Astyanax mexicanus: one gene and its partners. The protein of the gene in region 1 interacts with the protein of each later gene in a biochemical or structural test. Links are inferred from orthologs where the notes say so. Each region holds a gene or a part of one and is shown on either strand. Other genes may lie near its edges.

Region 1 (7,750 bases):
AGTGAACACTGTACCACTGACCCTGCTTAAAAATATAAAATGCTACACTTTTGTATGCAGTGTCGTCACGTGTTCAGCTATTGATGGGAGTTTTCACACCTGTAGTTGGTTTGAGTTTTTGAATTTGGTGAGTGATTGTAATGATATATTAGAGAGTTTATTAGAGTAAATCTGTTCTGTAACTGAAATGAGCCTCTAGTTTAGACTCTGTTGGATCCTCTATTCTGGATATAAGATGAGAGAGATTGAGATGGTTGGGCTTGGAGGAGGTTCTACAGGTTCTGATTGGATCCTGCAGCACATTTACGCACAGATGTTGCTGCTACAGCTGGGCCTGTAGATCCTGTAGCTCCTCTACACTCGTATAGGTTGAAGCTGAAGCTGCAGCGTCCCAGCTACTCTAAAATCAATGCCGGATTGGTAATAAATCTGGTATACATCTGAAAAATGTGATGCCTTCTCAGAATTGCACCTAAATTCGTCGCTTTAGACACAGTTAAGATACAGTTGAAGCCTGTAGTTGTCCTGGTTCCCCGTTCATGACACTTCACTTCTGCAAACGAATGGGAAATGTTTTGTCCCCTAAACATTTCTTAAATGTATTATTTATTTATTTTTTAATTTATTTTAGATTTTCTTCTGTTTTTTTTCCCAATTTCGGAGGGAAACGCAGCGACTCGGTTCTGATACATCAGCTCACAGACGCAGCCTTGTGCTGATCCACATCACCCTAGGAGTGATGAGGGGAAAGAGAGAGCACAATCTACTGTACCCACCCAGAGAGAGCAAGGCCAGTTGTACTGATGGCAAGCTGCATGACCGGGATTCGAACCAGGAATCTCCCGATCATAGTGGCAGCATTTTAGACTGCCCATAAATGTTTCTATCTATCTCACATGATCAAATCTTTTTCCGAATCAATTTAATTTATTTATTTGATTTAATCTCCCAGAAGCCCCACCTTTTATCTTTGATGGCATCATAGAGGCATATCCAGCAGTCAAGGAACTCTCACTGGGAGGTGCACTTCCTACCCAAAAGTAGCCCCCAAGACTCTTTTTATAGGGCAGTAGAAGAAGCACTTTTACGCCTGTAATCGTTTACATATCTGCCTTTGACAGAAGTTTTGCAGCCGTCCGAACAAATTGCTTCAAGAAGGAAAATGAAACAGGTTCCAAATTAACTGAATTCAAAAAGGGGGTGCAGGTGTGAAAACGCCCTAAAAGCATATGATGCATTTTTGGTCACAGCTAGTCGACTAATCCTGCCTGATTCCTTGCCTTCCTTATTGCACAGTGACAGCTTTTTTTGTATAAAGTGTGTGTGTGCCTAATTAAGAGCAGATGCACATTAAAAATGTTTATAATAAGGTGTAATGGTAATTTGCTTGTAATTATTCTTCTGTTCAGACAGTTCCAGTACTTCTTTGCGTTCACAGTTACTGCTCTACTGAACTATTTATCAACGCCTTGTGTCCGCTAGTCTGTACACTACAGAAATCTCCGCTCTTCACAACACCACAAATAAAGTTTTTTGCTGAACTGAAGAAAATGTTCTCTTTATTTTTTATTCTGAAAGGCTTTTAGTATGTGCCCACCCAAATCCCTAATCATAATACAGATAGTCAGCTGTATTAACAACTGAAATTATACACATACACTGCACTGACTTTAGACTTGATAATTAAACACAGTGGATCAACACCAGCAGATGACATGTCTCTCCAAACCATCACTGATTGGTGGAAACTTCACACTAGACCTCGAGCAGTTTGGACTGTGTGTCTCTCCACTCTTCCTCCAGACTCTGCTCCCTTGATTTACTTTAAATGAAATGTAAAATTTACTGATGATCAGTGATGGTTTGGAGAGTCATGTCTGTCATCTGCTGGTGTTGATCCACTGTGTTTTATTATCAAGTCTAAAGTCAGTGCAGTTTTGTTTTCCCACAAAATCTTACAGCACTTCATGCTTCTTCCCTCTGCTACTGACAACTTTTATAGAGATGCAGATTTCATTTTCCAGCAGGACCTGGCACCCTGCCCACACTGCCAAAAGTACCAATTGGTTTTATATAATATTCAGATTTTCTGAGACACTGATTTCTGGGTTTTTATTGGCTGTAAGCTTCATAATCATCAACAATAAAAGAAATAAACACTTAAAGTATATCACTTTGTGTTTAATACATCTATATTCAACTGAATTATTAAAATAAAGTTACTTTTCAATTATATTATAATTTTTTGAGATGCACTAGTGTAGTGCGCAGGTTCGCAAATTGGAACACAGCCAGGGACGCCACTCAGAACACGGCTTTTACGAATGGACGTCAATGACGTCGTGTTCCAAACGGCTCAAAACTCCTTAGTGCTCTACTACTATTAGTGTACTAGATAGAAAAACATAAAAATTTTAAAAAGCTGCAAGTTGTTACACCATTATGTAGTTTAAAACTAGTTAAATCTGTCCTGAATGATTCATTTAGAGTCAGTTTATATTTATTTATACTGTACAATTGTTGTGAGACCTACGTTGTACACTACACAACAGCTTACTGCCCTTCAGAGCCTGGAGCGATTTGGGACGCAGCCCCGAAAGATGATAGACCCTCGGCCAATCAGAGCCGCGTACAGCCTCTGTCCCTACGCAAATTGCGTAGCAGTTTACGCTGTTAAAAGAGTACACAAGCTCAAAATGCGCAACTCTGACATATGGACTGATAACTACAGGAAAACATTGAGAAATAACAGTTTAAAATCATACAAATAATTTAGGTGGAAAAAAATTAAACCTGAAAATAATTTTAAGCACAATAAGGAGGATTTGTGTAAACTGTTTTATTACCACTTATAAAATTATAAAATCACTGCAAACCCCTAATTTACCCATATTTATTTTTTATCATGCATTTTCCTTCTTACACCCATAACTGAAATTGCCAAATTTATATATTAGGCAGACACTGTAATAATTTGTTTATTCACAAATTAGTTTTTAAAGAATAACTCAATCAATACCGTAATATAAATGATACATAAACATTTCTAAAAAAAATTATTTAATATTTTCCAAAGAGTATCACAAATGTCGGTTGTGTTGTTTTTACATCTCCTTCATTCAAAGCGCACACAGTGAACGTTTCAATAACAAGAACAAAAAAAAATAATAAATAAAAATCTGTGAGCATCCTATTTAAGTATTTTTAAGTTCCTCTTCCATGTTTGGCAGCACACAGTTCGGAATAAAACGCCAGTAAAACTGAATATTTAGGGAGCAGAAAATGGGAACCTTAATCCATAGTACGTGTTGTGTCAATTGGATTAAAATATATAAAAAAAACAGTACAAATGTCTTTATATTATTGAGCATTAAAGTTTCATTGCTCTTTAAAACAATGTAAATGTATTATAATGCTATTGAGCTTTGTGGTTGGGATGTTCTACTCTGGGGCTGGGGTATTGGGTTTTAGTCCCTGTCTGTGTGAAGTTTCCATGTTCTTCTCGTTTCTGTGTGGGTTTCGTCCGGAAACCTCCAGGTTGACGGTGGTTTCCAGTTAAGAGTATGCTGTGCACGATTGGCTTTCACTTTTCACTTCATTCATTTGCTAAAATATTATTATTTTATGTGGGCACCGAGTGGTCCAGCAGGCTAAAGCGCTGCCACTATAATCAGGAGATCGCTGGTTCCGGTTCCCAGTAATGAAACTTGCCATCAGTGGCTGGAGCCCTGAGAAAGCACAATTGGCCACTCCTTTCCTAATTATCTCATGACTAGGATTTTGCCATATCGTATCAGATCCAATAATATCGCCAACATTATTAAATATCGTGAACGATATTATACCCTGAAATATCGTGCCATATCACCCACCCCTAATTATCACATCAGGGTTCTACTTTTTTTTTACTGTTTTTTGCAAAAAGAAAAATTCACACTGTTCTCATTTCCCATTGTATATTTATTAGAGACAAGATTATATCTGTCCAGTATAGGGCATTATTGGTACCATAACATTCTGGATCATTGATTCTTGTATTGTTTAATGTCTCAATTTGGAGTGTGCAATAGTAAAATTTAATTTTCATTTTTCAGAAGTGTAGCGTATCGTTTTCGCAAAAATACCATTAAATATCGTGATATTATTTTAAAGCCATATCGCCCACCCCTACTCATGCCAACCTATTAAAAACATCTATCTATCTATCTATCTATCTATCTATCTATCTATCTATCTATCTATCTATCTATCTATCTATCTATCTATCTATCTATCTATCTATCTATCTATCTATCTAATCATCTTCTCTACGCAAGTTACGTAGCAGTTTAAGCTGTAGACGCTGCGCAGCTTAGCACTTTTCTTTGTGAATACGCCTCGCTCAGTCGCTCGCTCGGTTTAAGGAGAAGCTCGATCGCTCTGCTACGCGCTCGGTTTGCGCGCTAGCTCCCTAAATTCACAATAACCATTAATTCGGATCGATTTACCAATGGACTGATCAAGGTAAATCATTCTACTGCACTTCTGATAATCGATACCGCCGGGTTCTGGCATGCAAACACGGTTAAATACGGTTTTAGCCAGAAGTTTACAGGCATTTCTGATGGTTAGCCTGGCTAGTTAGCACAGCTAAGCTAACTCCGTTAGCCGCCGCCGCTTCAGTGAACGAGATTCTAGCGGTTAGCTTAGCATAGGTAGCTGAGCTAGTTAGCCATCGATGCTAATTGTGTTTAGCTAGGTTAGCTAGCGTTAGTTAGCTCAGCGCGAGCGGGTTTAATTCGTTTTTCTCCGTTAAAATATACATTGAATTTAATTCTGCAGCGAATTCAAAGCGTTTAGAGACGAATTAGAGACTATTTTCTATTTAATAACTAAAACACCAGAGCTGGAAATGTGTACAATAGCTATGTTAGCTGAGCTACATGTTTATAATCCGCTTAGTTTACTGTATAACTGTAGTTATATTTGTATTAGTTTCAGTGCTGCTTGTGTTATCTAGCTTAGTTATTAAATAATCGTAGGCCTGTCACAATAACAATATTTTCTAGACGATATATCGTTCCAGAAACTATTACGATAAACAATATTATTGTATATTTGATTATTTTAGAACCTTTAGCTAAATATCACTGACATAATGATAATATAATAGCATAAAACAGCACTTATAGCCCTTTAAAGACAACATATTCGTTGTTAATCATAAATTTTGGGAAATATAAGCTAGTTATAGTTTATTATTTACCTTCTTCATTCTGTCTGCATGACTGGCTAAAATACTGTTCATCATTATACATGTGAACAAACATACACATTAATCACTATTATAAACCAGATCACCATTATTAAATATGATTGGGGTCAGGTCTAGGTCTGTCAAAATAATTCCATTATAGACTTCTTCTCCTACAGTATATGAACACAACCACAATTAATTGATTTATCGAAGAGACCCTTGATTAATGTCAATGATCGTGTATGTCCACTTTGTTTAAAAACACAGATTTTACTTTATTACATTACTTTATTTAAATAAGATACTGGTACAAGATAGATGAGGTATAGATTTGTACAAATGTATAGGCATAAGTTTGTATATTATTGATTTATCCAGTCTTGAACAGACATTTTTGATGACCCTAATATCAACAATTATGTGATTCTTTTTTTGTGAGATTTACAATGACATGAATAGCTAAAATGTTGACTTTGTTTAAAAACATAAAAAGAAAAATATGTGAAATTGCTAAGCTGCACGTTCATAATTTGCTTAGTTAGCTAGTTGGTTATATTTGTGTTAGTTTTAGGGCTAGCTTGTGTTACCTAGCTAGTAAATAATCAGAGGAATTTGTGGACAATATATCGTCCCAGTAACTATGCCGATAAATGATAATATTGCCATTTTAAGATTTTTAGCTAAATGTCACTGACATGATGATAATATAATAGTATAACAAATCATTCATTACCTTTTAAACACAGCATATTTTTCATTAATCATATATTTTGGAAAATATATAGTTTATTCTTCACCTTTTACAGTCATGACTGAGTAAAATACTGTTCACTGTTTGTATTTGTATTAGTAAGTCGATAATGTAAATATCCTGACAGGCCTAGACACAAGTTATACTATGGTGTATAGTCTCTATTGTAAGTTACTAATAAGTATATTGGCATCATGAAATAATCTCCTTATTGGTGCATCCCTAATTTAAAGATTAGGTCTTGTAAAAGGTGTAATTAAAATGACAATAATAAGACAGAAACAGAGAAAAATAGTCTAAGTTTTCTTAGTTTTCTTAGACAATGAATTTTTAGAGTTTTTCTTATGTTAACCCATGCAAATTATGTACTTTGACCTAAGAAGAACATAACTAATAATAAAAGCAACTAGATTGCAGTTCCTGCAGAAACTGTGATTGTGTTTGCAGTGCTGATTCGTGGGTGGTTGCTATGGTGTTGCTAAGTGGTTGCTAAGGTGTTGCTGTTATATCCTGTTGGTTGCAATGGTGTTGCTAAGGTGTTGCTATGGTGTATTAAAAAAACAAACACTAATTTAGGATCTGACTTCTTTGGATGTAGTGTGCCTTATTGGTGTAGATACCTTGTTTTTATTTGCAGTTGTAAAGCATTTAATTTGTTTGTTGTTTATATAAAAAGGTCTGTTGTTTTTTGTTCTAACAGTAACTGAGCTGCATTAGACCACCGAGCTCTTTAATAAGAGCCATGGCGCAGCAGCGCAGCGTGTCTGAGCTCTCCTGCTGCACAGAATCTCCTGGGGTTGGTTTAACAGCCGAGCACGACTCCGCATTGGAGGATGGAGACGACGTCTGCAGTGATCATGGCGATCGCAGCCCGGCTCGCTCCCCGAGTCCACGTGGAGAGGAGGACACCACCATCTTTGTGGCTTTTAAAGGAAATTTGGACGATGCTGACTTTCAGGAGAAGCTGGATGCCATTCTGAACGAGATGCCCCCGATGCTTTCCCTGGGTGAGGGCACCTCGGATTGTTTCTGGTCTTGAATTCATTTTCAATAACCTATATATATTTCTTTTTTTTTTTTATTATGTTTTTATTGTCATACAGAATCATACGTGTCATTATGGGACATTTAAATCTTTGTGTGTGTATGTACACGTACACACACATCAAAAACAGACAGTGGTCATACATTTCTGTAAGTCCCCATACTTAACACTTTTTTTTTGTACCCGCCTTCCCACCCTCAAACAACAGAAAGAACAAGAAGAAAATAAAAAAAATAGTGCCCACAATATCAAAACTTTATACATACAGGGGGTGATCTTATCTATACAGAGATATAGTTAGTTTGTGAATATGAAATCAGGTCTAAGGGGTGTGACATATTCGACCCATTTTTTCCAGTCTGAGAGGAATTGTCTCACTGTAAGATTAATAAAAGCAGTTATCTTCTCCATTTCATATATATCCATTATAATATCCATCCATGCATTTAGAGTAGGACACACCTGTGATAACCACTTCCTAGTAAGAGTTTCCTTGGCAGCCACCAGCAATATGTTCATTAGATATTTATCCCTTTTCTCCCACTTTTGGGGTATGAGCCCAAAATATAAAGTCTTACTTTCTAAGGAAATTTCACATTCAAATATCTCTTGTAGGGCTTCATGTATCTTCTTCCAGTAGTCTTTAATACTGGGGCAGTCCCAAACTATATGGTAATGGGTAGAATTTAAATTTCCACAGTTCCTCCAGCACACTGGG
Region 2 (7,999 bases), about 47 Mb from region 1:
TGAATTGAGAGTTGGTGGACTCCTATAATATACAGGACTAAATAGCTGTAAATGGCTGTAATTTGTCATTATGAATAATCTGGAAATGAAAAGTCTGGTTTATAAAGGTTAGCCTGGGTTACCGTGAGGCTTTTCCCATGTGATACATGTAGCTAACGATCTCTCCATTTATCTGGATCTACCTGGATTGAACACTCTGACTTGGCATGTGACGGAAAGAGCCATAACCTTGTGGATTAGATTTTATAGAGCCGTGGAGGCCGTTCACAGGGCTCTTGAGATTTAGGCTACGATAAAGACTTTAATGGTAAGCCAGATAAGATTTGCAGAACGTGAGTCACTCCTCACTGTTTCTGAGGCCAGAACAAATCTCCTGAGCAAATAAGGAGATGAGGAAGAGATTCCCAAAGACACGTTAAAGTTAGAGTTAGCACCTTAGCACTTGCTTAGATTAGACAGTTTACTTGAATTTCTTGCATCTTAATGTGCACAAAAAAGCAAAAGGCACTTTCAGAAATAAATCTATATATATAAATATATATGTATAATGAGACCACTGAAAAATGATGAGTTTCTTTGATTTTACCAAATTTAAAACCTCTGAAATATAATCAAAAGGAAGATGGATGATCACAAGCCATCAAACCACCAAACTGAACTGCTTGAATTAGTTTTGCACCAGGAGTAAAGCAGCATAAAGTTATCCAAAAGTAGTATGTAAGACTGGTGGAGGAGAACATGATGCCAAGATGCATAAAAACCAGGGTTATTCCACCAAATATTAATTTATGAACTCTTAAAACTTCTCAAATAAACATTTTCTGTAAATAAATGCTCTAAATTGCAATATTTCTATTTAGAATTTGGGAGAAATGATGTCTATATGTTCATTTTACTCAAATATAAACCTATAAATAGCAAAATCAGAGAAACTGATTCAGAAACTGAAGTGGTCTCTTAATTTTTTTTATCTATATCTATCTAAAATTTATCATTTATGATCATCATGTTAATAATAACTAAAACACACAAAACACATAAACAGGATTAGTCTCTTATGCATATCTAAATTATCAGTTGTCCGGCAAGTAAGTTCAGGTGTTTTCCAAGCAATTCTAAACAATACTGTACAGTAAATATAGTCTGCATAGTGTCCAGGGGGATCTGCAGAGCCATATAAATCAAGATCTTATCAAAAATGTTTTTACAAGCTAATCAAGATATTCCCATACTGACAAAAAATCAACCTAATTAGTAACCATTAATAAACTAATTGTAAACCATTTATAAACCCTTTATAAAGGTAGTCTTATTTTAATGTGGTATCGGATTTATTTTTAATTAAATGTACATGTCTTTTAGTAGTGATATACAGTAATTAATGGCATAATTCATACACATTCATTTGAGTTTGCGAGGCAAAAAAATTGCTATTGATAAAAAATACTATAAATTTATAATGTAATGTAAAAAAAAAAAATTAAGATCTAATGCATACATTTTAAATCAATAAATCAATTCAAATCTTAAGTCACTTTTAGCCTAAATTTGTATTTCTAAGTTTTGGATCTAAGTATTTTAAATCTAAAAAAAAAAAGTTATATGTTATATGTTATATATGAACTTTAAACAGTAATTTTCACCACTTTCAAAGTCAAAAAACAAAAAATCTTAGATAAAATTCTAATTTATGAATTACCACATATGTGTGTATATATATATATATATATATATATATATATATGTCACATTTTCCCAGTATATACAATACAGATCCAATACTTTGTCAGTTTTAAGCTCCATATCTTAACTGTAACTGCCTGTAAAATGTGTTATACAGTAAATTAAGTTGTTTAGCCTGGTTAAAAGAGGTTTTACTGCGTGTTTAGAGAGTTTACTTGGTCACCGTTTTGGGCAGCTCCTGTCCTCGTGCAGGCGTGTGGGTGGATGAGTGGTAGGTAAAGTTTTACTGTCCTGGTGGCCGTATGAACCGGAGAACGTTGACCTGTGGCTTTGTACTGTCACTTTCCCTTCTTCAAATATCTCCTGGGCTGTGTTTGCCTTGGCTCTGATGTGTGCGAGCTTGCTCCACTTGTTTACGTAAATGCTCCAATGCTTTACTTTTGGTTTTCCCTCAGATAACAAACATAACCTGCGTGTTAGCATATCAAATCAAATCAAATCAAGGTTTATTTGATTTATTTCACATGCAAAAGTCGTGAAATACCTGCTTATTTGTGGTTTCTTATGTAATCAATCATATTAAAGGCGAAATCCTGTGTAAAATTGACTTTTTGTTGTAGTAAAACTTGATAAAAAAGTTCTTACTTTTGATGATTAGCACACCTCCGTTCTCCCACAGCGTTCAGAGATCCAGAAATTGTAACAGTTTGTCCAAAAACCATTCAGATTGGGCGTCACGGGGCATAATAATTTGCCCCGATAAATTGCTTTTTACACCGTTATTCAAGCTCAAAGTAGCTCCACACCTCCTTGCTAGAATAAAAAAGTGCACAAGAAGCTTATTAAAAAATATAGACTCTGGAGTCTATGTATAATGTATATATATGTATATATGTCTGTCATTATCAGTACAGTGATGGCGGTGCTCTGAGCTGAAGCTAGCATTATAGGATGTAAACAGAGGTTTTTAAGAGTTTTTTTTATATGATACCATTAAATTATTAAAGAAGACTTTCTATACTATCAATGTTATGAATATCAAGTTATATTACTGTAGCATTTCGGACTAATTGGAGTAAAAATGGAGTAGGCCTATTCGGTTTTGCGTAAACCAGAGTTTGGAGCCCAATAAAACCAGCAAATTAAACTTGTATCAAATGACATCATGAAATGCTAGAAGAACCCTTTACAAACTATCAATGTTATTAGTATCAAGTGATTTTACTGCAGCATTTTAGAGTAATGCGAGGTCAAACTTTGGAAAAGTGCCTATTCGGTTTTGCACAAACCAAAGTTTGGAGCCAAATAAAACCAGCAAATCAAACTGTTATCAAATGACATCATGAAATCCTAGAAGTACAATTTACATGATATCAGTTGTATGAGTATTAAGTGATTTTACTGCAGCATTTTGGAGTAATGGGAGGTCAAACTTAGGAAAAGTGCCTATTCGTTTTTTTCCTAAACCAGAATTTGACACCACTCTATTTGTTTTAGACACAAATATCTGAAATTCACAATTATGAAAGCTGTTTGTTTTCTTCTAAGGGAAGAATTATGGGTGGGAAATTCTCATGTTAAAATGAAATGTGACTGTTTTCACTACATGAACCCACACAGCCATCATAAGCAGATTTCAGCCGAATCGTAATTAAAATACAGAGAACATGTACTGTAGGCTTCTTAAAGGAAAATACAGAAATGTTCTTCAGGATGTATTATATTACGTGGCCACAGAATCAGATTGAGAGCCAGCCAGCCTGATTTTCATGCTTAAATGATGTGTTTGCTAAGTCTCTGTTAATTCTTGCACAATAAACAACAGCAGTGACTCTGAGTAGCTGGAAAAATGCTGACCTTTATGTAAAAGAACTCTTTGTTCTACAGAAAACTCAAAGTTCCAACTATAGAGAACAGAATGGCCAACATTTATACTTTATGCCAAATTTAGTCATAACTAAAAACTGCAGTTTTGGGTGAAAAGTCGAGTCGCTGCTGCTGTACTGGATTGAGTACAGGATTGAGTCTTAAATATGTAGAAAGCTGAAGTACCTACAGAAGAAATTCCCCATCAAATACAATACAGACAAGACAAAAATAAACGACCACTTAAAAATTATTAGTTTCTTTGATTTTAGCTAATTGAAAACCTCTGGAATATAATCAAGAGGAAGATGGATGATCACAAACCATCAAACCACCAAACTGAACTGCTTGAATTTTTGCACCAGGAGTAAAGCAGCATAAAGTTATCCAAAAGCAGTGTGTAAGACTGGTGGAGGAGAACATGATGCCAAGATTCATAAAAACCAAGGTTATTCCACCACATATTGATTTCTGAACTCTTACAACTTTATGAAAACTTTATGTTTTCTTTGCATTATTTGAGGTCTGAAAGCTCCATAGCGCTAGATACGTTAGATCTCTGGGCGCCGCCATCACTGTACTGATCATGACTTAACTTTAAGCCCAGAGATGCACAGCATCTAATGCTACAAAAGAGTTGTAAAAAGTGGTTTTAATATGTTTTTCATGCACTTTTAAAGGTATTAATGCCTCGTTTTATATTTCAGAGCTCTCCAGATTTTACCAATGAGGTGTGGAGCTACTTTGAGCCTGGATAACGGTGGAAAAAAACGATTTATCGGGGCAAAATATGCCCTGAAGCGGCTGTTGTAAAGAGTGCTGGGCTTATAAGCACAAAATTACTGGGTCTTGGAAAGCTGTGGGAGAGCGGAGGTGTGCTATTCGACAAAAGTCAACTTATTTAAGCTTTTTTGCTTTTTTGATAAAATCTGATATTAAAAAGAGAGAAAGAGAGACTCACAGAAAGAGAGAAAGAGAGAGAGAGAGAGAGGCCTTGTTCATCTCTATCTCTAAAAAAAACAATCCATATTAAGCACTAAAGAAAAAAAAGCCAGACAATGATTAACCCAAGGGCCACCCCGCTCCAGAACTGGGGCCGTGGCCGAGGGGGCGGGGTCTGACCTGTCAGTCAAAGTCAGCCTCATCTTTGCCCCAGAGGACATGTCCCGTGTCACTCAGAGGTGTCTACCTCTGCGAGGGGCGGGGCTTGCTCTATGAGAGGGGGGGGTCCGGACTCCGGCGAGAGGACAAGTCTTTCCCCTCAGTGTCAGGCTAGCTGAGAATGCGTTTGTCCAAAGCTCTAGCAGACATGGAGATGGCAGACTATAGCGAGGCCCTGGACCCAGCCTACACCACCCTGGAGTTCGAGAACATGCAGGTGCTCGCCATGAGCACAGGTGAGTCACCCTGCAGACAAAGTTCAGGTCCCGGGCTGAACTTTGAGTCCTGAGACTTTTTATATAGGCTGGAGAATGTTTGGTCAAGCGTAGGATGATGAGGTTGGTTTAATGGGTTTTGGGCTGGTTTATAGACTTTATAGATTCCTTATACATTCCTTAGAGATGCCTCTGGATGGGATGACCTGTTTAGAACAGTATGCTTTATACTGAGTTATATTTATTATTTTATACTCTTATTTTAGTGTTTATACTGCCAACTTTTTTTTAAAAACAGGAGTTTTTAAAAAGTTTAATGCACTGGAGGAACCCAATAACCACAATAAGAATAAAGTGCTGTGAAATTTATAGGACTTTTTAGAAGAAAATGTTCCTTAAGTCACCTTTAAACACCACAAAATTATATTAATATATGATATTATGCATACACATATGCTTAGCCCAGTCCTGAAGTTGCTTAAAGCAGAACTCCAGTGTAAAATTAAAACTTTTCAGTGTAGTTAAACATGATAAAGAGTTTTAAACTTTGTTTTAAAGCCCAACAGCGCTCTTCTACAGCTTTCCAAGATCCATCAAATTTGTGCTTTTTTGCCCAGAACTCTTTACAACGACCGCTAATGGGGCATCCACTTGCCCCTGCAGATAAATCTTTTTTTTTTAAACAGTTATCCAGCTCAAAGTAGCTCCACACCTCATTGGTTGAATAGGAACATTGGTAGAAAACGCCTGACATTAAAAATGTGCACTTTTAAAGTTATCATTGCCTTGTTTTAAATGTCAATGGCTCTCCAGAAGGTCTTTCAGAAGGAAATGTTCCCAAGCTTTCCTAAAGCATTTTCCTCAAAGCATCTTTCAGATCTTGTAGATTCCCTAAAAGTTCCCCAAGGTATAAAAATGAAATGAAGCAAGACAGGATTAAATAAGCAAAGAACTAAAGAACTGAAGATCTGAACTGAGAGTCTGGAAGCTTTGGGAAAGATGAAAACTGCAAGCTCTGTCTTGTTAGGTGGACAGGCTCATCTTTCATTCCGTGTCAAAGTTACACCACTAAAAGTCCCACTGTGATTCCGTCCAGCTCCCTTTACCCTCCGCTTTCTTTGGTCGGTTGAGGATAAAATGTCTCTTCAGGGTTGAGTTTCCAGAGATAGCTGACAGCTAGATAGATGGACATCAAGCGTAGAAGATGTTGTGGAAATACTTCACAGCTTAGTTTCCCATGTCTGAACGTCATGAGAAACTGACTCGATTATATAAGTATCTGCAAAATCTGTTAAATAAGTTAAAAAAGTACCAACAATTCATTTCTTAGCCTTTCTTCTTTTAAGGTGCTTGAACATCTGGATGCTCTGAGGAACTTTAATGGGGTTTTAGGGCTGGAAAATATATTATTAATTTATTATAATGAAATATTTGCATATATTGCACTATATCGAAAGATTGCTTTGATGCTTTGCTGGTTAAAATATGTGTTTATTATGGATTAATAAAAAAAGAAATAATAATATGCATTGATTGTGCAACGTGGAAACGGTTTGGTTCCCAAAGAAATGATACTCAAATGAGAGTAGTCTTGTAAAAATAATGTAATTTAATGACATCACACTTAATTGTTTTTCACGTTAAATAAGTAAGTAAATACTGATACTTTTCTCTCGATCAGTATGATGTCAGCAATTTAAAACTCCTTACTTTATGTTTATTTGATGAATTATCAGCACTTGTATCATTATTATAATGGTATAATAGTATTACATAAGTATTTAAAGTGTTGTGTCTATTTTAAGTGTTAAGTTAGGGGGCGTTTAGAAAAAGACCTCAACATGTGTTGAACATTACCACAAAAATGTGTGTAAAAAAATTGATATTTCATATAAAACAGCCTTAATAACAAAGACATTGGGATTGAAACATTTGAAACATTACATTTTTTACATATTCATTGAATTAATCACTTTATAGGGGATTTTAAACACTATATAGGGTCAAATTGACCCCAAAGATAATACGAGATTTAATCATATATATACTTAAGTCCAGAACTACTGGATTTACAGTGATTTCTTAGATGATTAGTTTTTAATTAGGCTACGAATGATGATTTAATTGAGTTTAATTACTCTGGTTCCCAATCCTCTCACACTGCTGTTGTTTTCTCCCATTCAGATAATCAGTCAATCGCAAATCAATCAACTGAAACATCTACACATCTATCGTGCTTCCCTTTGATCATCTTTGATCAAGTACTTTGGTTTTAATGGGTTTTAAGCACTTTTTAAGACTATTACATCGAATAAGACGTAATAAGAACATATTACACTTAATATTATACAATTAATTAATCATTGAATCAATCAAGCTGAATTTGTATTTGTTTTTCGATAAATCATGTTAAAATTCAAAGTGCTTCACAAGAAAATAAGAAATATTCTAAAAATTCCAAAAAAATGGAGATGGATAAAAAGAAGGATAGTAAAATAATAGAAATAAAAATTAAATAATACAGTTAAGATAATACAAACAATAAAAACAAAGATTAAGAAATTAAGTATTGCATTAAGTAAATTTTTCTTAATTTTTTAATTTATTTAAAATATTCAATTTTATCAGTAATAAAATAGCAAAAAATAAAAAAGAGAATAAAATAAATATTTAATAATAATTTTAACTAATACAATCCAAAAATACCATCTGTAAAACTATTTAAAAATCTAGACTGAATGAATATAATATAATATATTATAATATTTTAATTTGCATTTTAAAAATTCTATTGGTTTAAAGTGTAAAAAAACAGCTTCATTAACCAAAAGCATTTTTGATTATATATATATAAACTTATAAACTTATAAAATATAGTTAAAATCCATTGAATAAGCTAAGAAGTGGTCATTTAAAAGACTTTAAATAGGTGTAAATTTTGCTCTTCCTTCAATATTTTGAGATACTCAGCAAAAAAAATTGTATTTACAGCAGCAGGATTGAGGCCTATGTTATGGATTATGTTAATAAGGCATGTTAATTCAGTTAATTCACTCGAGCTGTATTTATTTCAG
Region 3 (8,350 bases), on another chromosome or scaffold:
ATAATAGACAAAATAAAACAATACAAGGACCTCAATTGCTGTGGTTTATTCTTAATGTGAGCTCATGTTCATGGCTTTAAAGTCGTGGGACAATGTTTGTTACCACAGCAGTTGAATGACCCACTTATAATAGAAGTCATTGAGCAGGTGCAGAAACATCTGTCCACTGACTTCTATTATAAGTGCGTTTTGGGTCAATATGTTCTCTGCTCTTTTCCGAGAACAGGAAAATAACTGTCTGTGTAAAACAACCATATAGTACGCAAGCAATGAGATAAGGTTAAAATAGTACTTTGCTTTTAATTTGAATGAATACAGTTTACTACCACTACTCTGCAGCACACACTGAAATAGCTTCAGGGATTGGAACTGAGCCACAGTGAATTATTAAGGGTATTTGAGCATAAGATTGTTACAACACTCTAGATTGGGAACTAATCTGTTTACCTGGGACCTTGAACAAGAAGTGATCAGCAACCGAGTGACAGGTGCGGCCCTTCTGTATGATGAGACTCGCCAGGAAGTAGTAGTAGTCGATAGGGATCGCTCCATGGTAGTAGACGATGAGGGCAGGGCCTTCGTCTGGGATCTTTTCTAGACCATGGATTTCGTAACCTGTTCCACAAAAACATCACTATTATTTCCAATGGCAAAGAATGTAAGTGTGGATTTCTGGATGTTAACAATAATAATATTATTTTGTTAATAAAGGGCTGTGTATTGACTGTGTATTGTAGAACTTGGTGAGATCACCATATACGTATCACAATGCAAGATTCGATATATGTTGTGATACTGTAAGGAAGGCGATATATTGCAATTGTTTCAATTAAAATTTAGGAGAAAAAAAATGTCATAGTATAAAAACACATCATATTTATAAAATCTCAATAAAATGGTAGCTTACTTGTTATACAATCAAACCAGCAGGATCTATCGACAGAGTACAACACTGCCTTTTAGTGATCTGTGTTTAAACACAACACAAAATAAACTAGAATCTGCCACTAAGCATTATATGTTAAACTAATAATTAGAAATCTGTACTTTGTACTTTGTGTTTTTAAATATCGAAACAGTATTGCAAAACAAAAAAACAGTAATACGATACAATATCGATATTTTCTTACACTGCTATTTGCTATAACCAGTTTTTAGACTAACACTGATGTCTTTACATACTGGAGAACTAAACAATGCATGTTACATTTATATAAACTGAACTGAATCCTTTTGTATTAGGCTTGGATTTAATCATATCAGATCAGTAATTAATCAAAAAGAAAAAACTGAAGGCCACTCCTCCTCCTCTCTCAGCCACACATTACACACCATGCCATATGGCACCATGGCCGTCCCACAGAGTGGCCAGAGTCTTCCTCGCCCCGTCCCACAGGTTATAGGAGTAGGCTTCCCTCAGCTGGTTCTTGCGTTTATATACGTGGAGGAAGAGGATGGACAGGTAGAGGAAGATGACTATGAGGAAAGGCAGGATAAAGACGATGGCCAGCGGGGTAAAGACCCAGAGTAAGTACTCCAGGAAGCTGAGGTAGTCTTCTAGATTTCCCAGGCCAGCCCAGTCCTCCCAGGCCAACAGCAGACAGGTGAGAACACCCACAGATCCATTCCCTGACCAGCAAGACTCATTCTCATCAGACATGCTGCTTCAGTAGGTCCCTCTCCCAGTGGCAGCCAGGTCGAACAAGGGCACCTCCTGCCTACAGGCAGACCTAGGGTTCACAGAAAGCAAAAAAACATTGGCTACAAAGAAGCAGAGAACATTTAGAGACCACAAAGACCTTTGTGACTATCATATTACCAATAATTAGGCCTTTAGTTGTCATCGAAAAGCTATGTTGGTTCAATAAGCAGCCCAGTTGGCAAAGGTGCTTAACTGGAGTGAGATTTGCCACCTTTTCTGAGAAGAATGCAGCTCGATTCCAAAAATGAATGTGACTGGAATCAACGAGAAAAACTCTACTCTACCTTTCTGAAATGAACAAACTGCATAAAAAAAAATATTTTAAATGTAAACCAGACAGAACAATATATACAGAAATGGAACAAACAAAAATTTAGGTTTCATTATATTTAATCTAGATGTTAATGGATTTGCTTTAAATAAATTATTTTCAATTAGTCAATTAACCAATGACAACCAATTCATCCATAATTCTAAAGGGGATTTGTGCTCCTGTACCAAACCACATAGTTTTATACTTTACACACTACATTAACAAACACACTTCTTATGGTGGTGCACTTAAAAGTGTATAATACACTATTAGTTTTACTACTACACTGGATGTGCAACTTTAAAATATAAAAAAGATAGCTGTAAGTTTTTTTTTTGTTTTAAAATTGTAAAATTAGACATTTGCTCAGTATTCCCACATTGGTGCATCCCTACATGTGTCTGTAAACAGTGATAATGTTGATTGCATAAACAAGTTGGCCCAGCCATAGTATGTTAAAATTTGTTGCTGATGTTTTTTTTGTGTCTTTATTTTAAGGCTGTGTTTACTTTTTATCTAATAAGATCAGTGGGAACTGAAGACATGGATATTTAATGGGCAGGGTTTAAACACAAAATCTACTAATCTAAACTTTACCATGGAAACTATTTGTAAGAATATAAGAGTTTTGTCCTATAGTATACTGTGTTTTAGTTTTATCAAATAAATAGTTAGCATTTTATCTTATTCAATATTTAGCAGGATCAATATGCTATCCAGTTTTACTTTATGATCTCTGGTTAATTTGTTTGAGTGATTTATATGTAACCATGGGTAAAAAAAAATCATATGAATTTGAAACATCACTGTGTGAATATGTTTCTTTGTTTGTAAGTTAGCTTAGCCACTGCATTCCAAAACCCTGTTTTCTCTGGAAGATCCTTTAAATAAACTGGCAAAGCTATTTTTGTACTGGGACTCATTTTTGTTTGTTTATGTTGTATCACACCAGCTACAACATACATCAGGATCTCATTTGACTACATTTTTCATTCATTCATTAAAAAATTTAATTCATTAAAAACTGATCAAGTATTGCACAACAAAATATCACAATATTTTTGATATTATATTGATATTTTCAGACATACTGTGACTGGGTGACTGGGTGAAGGACAGAAGTATAAAATATTCTCTCTGTCTGAGGTCTTTGTTTTCCTACACATTGTTCTTGCCTATCTAAAAAATAAAAGATGTGCACTAGGGCCCTGGAAAGATGGTCCACAAACTCTTTTTCACATGTGCATCAACTAAACAGCTTAAAGCCTGTATTTTTATATCTTTATATTAACTACAATTTAAAAAGTATTGAACACTGAACATTTTTTTAATTCCAGTAGACAAACCAACCAAGCACAATATTGTATAAAACTTTTAAAAATGTCGTCTTGAAACTTATTCAGGTCAGTGTAACGTTTAGCAGTTTCATTTTCTGACTGTATCAAGCTAAATTTAAAAACTTAAAAAAACTTTTTTTTTTCTTTTTTTTCAGGAGAGTGAAGAAGAAATGCGTTTTCATCCCATTTTTTAATTAGACAGTTTTTCATTTCAGCCTTTGGCAAAAATAATTTCAAGAAAAATTAAAAGCTGACTCTGACTCTCGATTTTCAGATTTTTAATTTCTGTATCTTGTAACACAAATCTGATGGTATAATGCAAAATGCAAAAATGGAAAAATCAGAAAATAAAGATTTTTTTCATTTTTCCTGAAAATCCAATTATGAGGTGCAGAGATTAATATAACAAAAAATGGAAAAACGGATGAAAACTTATTTTTAAATTTTCTATTTTTGCATTTAGCTTTGAACAGTCAATAAAATAAAACCTTAAACGTTACACTGACCCATTCAGCCAAACACATTAAAAAACATATATGTTTTTATCTTTTGCCACGTAATTTAGATTGACGAACAGTGTCTACATTTTTTATTTTTAATAACATCGATAGGACTGGCAAGCTAGCACTCTGTGTCAAAATGTACTAAGTGAATATCAACACTGTTAACACTATCTAAACTATTTTAAACAGGCGTGGGTTGGATTATTTTATTCAGTGTCAAATTTCGAGAGAAAAAAAAAACAAACAAACAAAAAGAGCCGGTTTAGCTAGTTGAGTTATCTAGATAACACAGTGGCTCTTATCTCTCTATCTGGCTCACTGTCAGGTATAAAGCTTGCTTTAGCTTCTTTTCCAAAAATATTTCGTTCCACCTTAAATGGGTCAGCTGTTCCACTCTGGTACCTGAACAGGGAGCAGAACCGCTATCGCCACCAACACGGTTTAGGGTGGAACGGAGAATTAGAATAAGAAGCACTTAATACTGAAGGTCTCAGCTGACAGGTCTCAGCCAAAACACAGACCTCCTCCACCTGCACCTCCAACACAGAGCAGCGCACAGCACGATTATCCGCTTTACTCACCTCACGGACTCTTATTATTTCTCCTTCATAGCTGAATTAGCCTTTACTACATGGTGCTGCTGCATCAATAATAAAAGTCACACAAGTGCTTTTGGGCTTCGGCTACAGCCTTCTTCTCCTTCCTGCTTACCCGGCTTTCTTTACGTACGAAGACAGGAATTTCAAAATAAAAGTATTTGAGTGAAAGTAATAATTGAATTGAGGTTTAGTATAATTTTGTTTAAAAACAGGCCAGGATTTTTGTCAATTGTCTGCCTGACATTACACCATTAAATCTTAAGTATTTTAATTCAAGCATTACATAAAAGCATTCATGTTTAAAAAAGGAACATTACTGAAAAGCACATTTGTAATTATAATTGAAAATATAAATATATAAAAATATTTAAGTAAATCTGCTTATGTCAAAATATAATAAATAAATCATAGAATTGGCTCTTTTCTGAACTTAATTGTAAAATAAAGATTTTCCTAAATACAAATCAAACAGTTAATGTCCTTCAAACTTTTAGTTTCATTTGGGTTGATTCCTGTTACTGATCTGGAATTATTAAGTGGAGTAGAAAGTGAACAGACAAAATCCAGCCTAAGTTTCCTGTAGAAGATTTCAAGGCCTCGAATTTTAAGAATGAAAATAAGTTGTTTTACTGCAGAAATAGTGGTTTTGTATCACCTACACCTGTAGCTTGAAATCGGCTCAAGGTATGTTAATAGATTAAAGCTTTAGACATTATTTACTTTTTTCCATATTTTTTAAATGTAATTTAATGGGTTTTTTTTTTATTACAATTATTGGAATTTGTGAGAGCTGGGGCTTTTAATTTGTCGAGTGTTCTAAAACATGTGGGTCTCTACACTGAGCGCTACACGCACGTTTAGATGTTTGTGTTTATTTTATTTTAGTGTTGTTTTAATATGTCCGACTCATAGCTAGTTAACCTAGGTTTGTAGATTACGTTTTTTTTCTATTTAGCTTGATGCTAATGCTGCTATTTTGTTCCGCGCATAAGAAATTAAGCAGTTAGATAATCAGAAGCCGTGATAAATGCTGATAGATAACTAGGTTAGATAGGTTAGCTAGCTTAGCTAGATGTAGACTAAATACTTTAACTAAGATAATTTAGCGGATCACTGTCATCCCCTTCCTTCCTCCACAGGTTTTTTTGTTGCTCAGTGTTGATGATGGTTAATTATGGGAAATTTCAGGCTGTTCCCATAGCTGATATATTTTTCCACCACGGTGTATTAGACGAGATGACCATACACTGCCTGTGTTCCAGAGCTTTTGTCAAGTAAGCCCCTTAATCAATTAATCAGTCAGCTGTTTAAACTATTTATCTAGCTAACCTAACTGTTATTTATTTGTTTTTACTTTACTTGTGTGTTTTCAGCCATTTAGAGCCATTTGCATTCAGAGCAACTTGTCAGCTATTATATAGGATAATTAGCTGGTTAGTAAGCTTGGATGCTGTAACTAAAACAAATTTACACGTTTAATGTTCTCTAGCTATATTATCTAGCTAAAATAAATAGTATATTTTGGTATATGTTGTGTTTTATTATTAGAAAATGAAACATGATTGCAATTTTGAAAATTGTCAAAAGGTAGTCTTATGACTTAGAAACAGTGTTAGAAACAGTCTTACCTAATTATAAGGCTGTGACAACTTAGTTCATACTGTAGATAGAGCAACATTTAGACAACATTGTAGCAGCAGTGTTGTAAGACAGTAGACAATGTTGTGACTACTTTGTATCTCAGCTGGGAGGGTTGATATTGTAATTTGTGCTTTTCTTATATATATATATATTGTATATTTATCAACAAAATAGTAGAAAATATCTGTCTGGTCGTCTTTTTAATTTAAGACATATATCTACCAATACTGTGATTGGTCTAACATTAATATCATTTAATAACATCCTTATCTTTTACAGTGATCGAGAACTGTATCGGTCTGATTTTAGATCCCTGCAGGCTCTAACAGACAGCAGACAGAATGGTATGCCATTTCAACCTAAGGCTTTCTGTGTGCTTGATAGAATCCATTCTTGGATATCCTTTATTTGTGAATTGAATTTCTATTTCCACTGTTCAGATTTAACAGACAATGTTGAGGATGTTGATGATGAGGGATATAGCCACTCTGAAGATGAGGAGGATGTGGAAATGGATGAAGAGATGCTCCTTATGGCAAGTTTGGGTCTGCCGGTAGCGTTTGCCAGCTCATCTGCGCAGAGGAAAGCGGTAAGTGTTTATCTGATGTGTTTGGGCATCATATGACATAGGGCTGTAAGATAAATCTTTTTTTACTTTCTATATTTATTTTATATAATTACTGCAAGAAACTTATACTGTATTACCTGCATGGAACAACAAAGGGAGCACCTCACACAGCAACCTCAAACTGTACTCATGTTCTGTAAGGAGGCTGGAGCTGGAGCGAGGCAGAGTAAGGTTGAAGTCCACAATGAATGCACACGTAGAAAGATAAAATTTTCATTGTAAATCATCATAGAACAGCAACGTGTATCTCTTCTCTTCTTCACATGAGCTTGGAGATCCTTCACAAGCATGTGAACTTCTTGTACATGCAGCCCCAAAACTGCAGTTCCAGTTGTTTGTCAAGATGATGAATCCAAAATGCAAAACCAGTCTTACACACTGCTTTTGGATCACTTTATGCCTCTCCTGGTGCAAAAATTTAAGCAGTTCTGCTTGGTTTGAGATCATCCATCTTCCTCTTGATTATATTCCAGAGGTTTTCAATTTGATAAAATTAAAGAAACTGGTCTCTTATTTTTTCAGAGCTGTATATTCTAACATTTAAAGAAAACTGATTTAAGAAATACTAAATTTTCACTAGGTGTCTGTACAAATTAAAGATGCAACATGTCATGATAATAACTAATGCACCCAGTGTATTCAGTACTTGGGTAAAATAACTAGGGATGCTTTGGCAACCGAAACTTGGTAGTAGACAACTGAATTGTAATTTGATCACCCCTAATTTGAGCCTGATCGTATCTTCAGTTTTATGTCGACAGGAGGAGAGTGAAAGCAATGCCTGATTAACATGATTATTAAGAATACTTAAGAATTGGAACATTGGATTTGTGAAACAATATATAAAAATCCTAAATTAAGTAAACACAATGTAAAACATCTGTTTTTGTATTTGTTGTCATTAATCATGCTTGTATTACACTATGGGCAATATTGAGGTCAGCAAAATAATTTGAGGTTATGTCCACATTTATATGATAAGTCGATAATTATCATGACCGGTCTAGTTGTTGCATGAAAATGCATAAAAGTTCTCTCTTAATTGTGAATGATTGAATGAATGATGTGTTTTTTTTTGCTTAGAACAAGTGGACTGGCTACTCTCCGCACAGAGGGACAAAGAAAATTAGCGATGACCACGATGAGATGCTCTCTGACCAGCAGGAGCCACAGCTGGAGGCAAGATTGGAGCCTCAGCTGGAGCCAGTCTCCGATAAGAGAGATCAGGAGGAGGAAAAAGAGGAGGAACAGGTTCTTACAGAGATGCTGCAAGAAACCCCTGCTGACCCAGAGTCTGCTGTCTCTGAGGAACCATGGCAGAAGTACTGGCAGCTGCATGGAGAGAGCCTGCTGTGGGCTGGTTGGGTGGAGAAACACCCCCAGTTCTCTAGTGAGGAGGCTGTGGCTCCATGGGACTGTCCCGAGTGGAAGGAGGCCTGGGACGAGCACAGCAGCCAGGCATACCTCTGTTACTGGGAGCAGTTCCACTACTGGGCTGCTCAGGGCTGGACTGCAGATGAGTCCTGCAGTTTGACTGAAGCTGCTGATGATTCTGTTTGTGATAATGGACAGCATGAACTGTGTGGCGGAAAAGAACTGGAGCTAGAAAAGAATGAGCCGTCCTCTG

The links.
Region 2: the proteins of ncoa6 (region 1) and hnf4a form a complex in vitro, tested with the Homo sapiens proteins (2 studies listed by BioGRID). The link is inferred for Astyanax mexicanus from reciprocal best matches to the Homo sapiens genes NCOA6 and HNF4A.
Region 3: the proteins of ncoa6 (region 1) and tgs1 form a complex in vitro, tested with the Homo sapiens proteins (2 studies listed by BioGRID). The link is inferred for Astyanax mexicanus from reciprocal best matches to the Homo sapiens genes NCOA6 and TGS1.

The regions. Positions count from the first base shown.
Region 1 is NC_064420.1:49,309,308-49,317,057, reverse strand, and holds the start of ncoa6 (nuclear receptor coactivator 6), read left to right. Parts: upstream 1-4,381; 5' UTR 4,382-4,503; intron 4,504-6,687; 5' UTR 6,688-6,729; coding exon 6,730-6,994; intron 6,995-7,750. UniProt on the Homo sapiens protein: Nuclear receptor coactivator that directly binds nuclear receptors and stimulates the transcriptional activities in a hormone-dependent fashion. Coactivates expression in an agonist- and AF2-dependent manner.
Region 2 is NC_064420.1:2,568,051-2,576,049, reverse strand, and holds the start of hnf4a (hepatocyte nuclear factor 4-alpha), read left to right. Parts: upstream 1-4,788; 5' UTR 4,789-4,831; coding exon 4,832-4,946; intron 4,947-7,999. UniProt on the Homo sapiens protein: Transcriptional regulator which controls the expression of hepatic genes during the transition of endodermal cells to hepatic progenitor cells, facilitating the recruitment of RNA pol II to the promoters of target genes. Activates the transcription of CYP2C38.
Region 3 is NC_064411.1:37,312,841-37,321,190, forward strand, and holds the start of tgs1 (trimethylguanosine synthase), read left to right. Parts: upstream 1-5,276; 5' UTR 5,277-5,379; exon of another isoform or gene 5,380-5,593; 5' UTR 5,594-5,615; coding exon 5,616-5,728; intron 5,729-6,374; coding exon 6,375-6,439; intron 6,440-6,535; coding exon 6,536-6,684; intron 6,685-7,806; coding exon 7,807-8,350. Other genes in the region: tmem68 (transmembrane protein 68), read right to left, coding at 448-615, 1,333-1,660. UniProt on the Homo sapiens protein: Catalyzes the 2 serial methylation steps for the conversion of the 7-monomethylguanosine (m(7)G) caps of snRNAs and snoRNAs to a 2,2,7-trimethylguanosine (m(2,2,7)G) cap structure.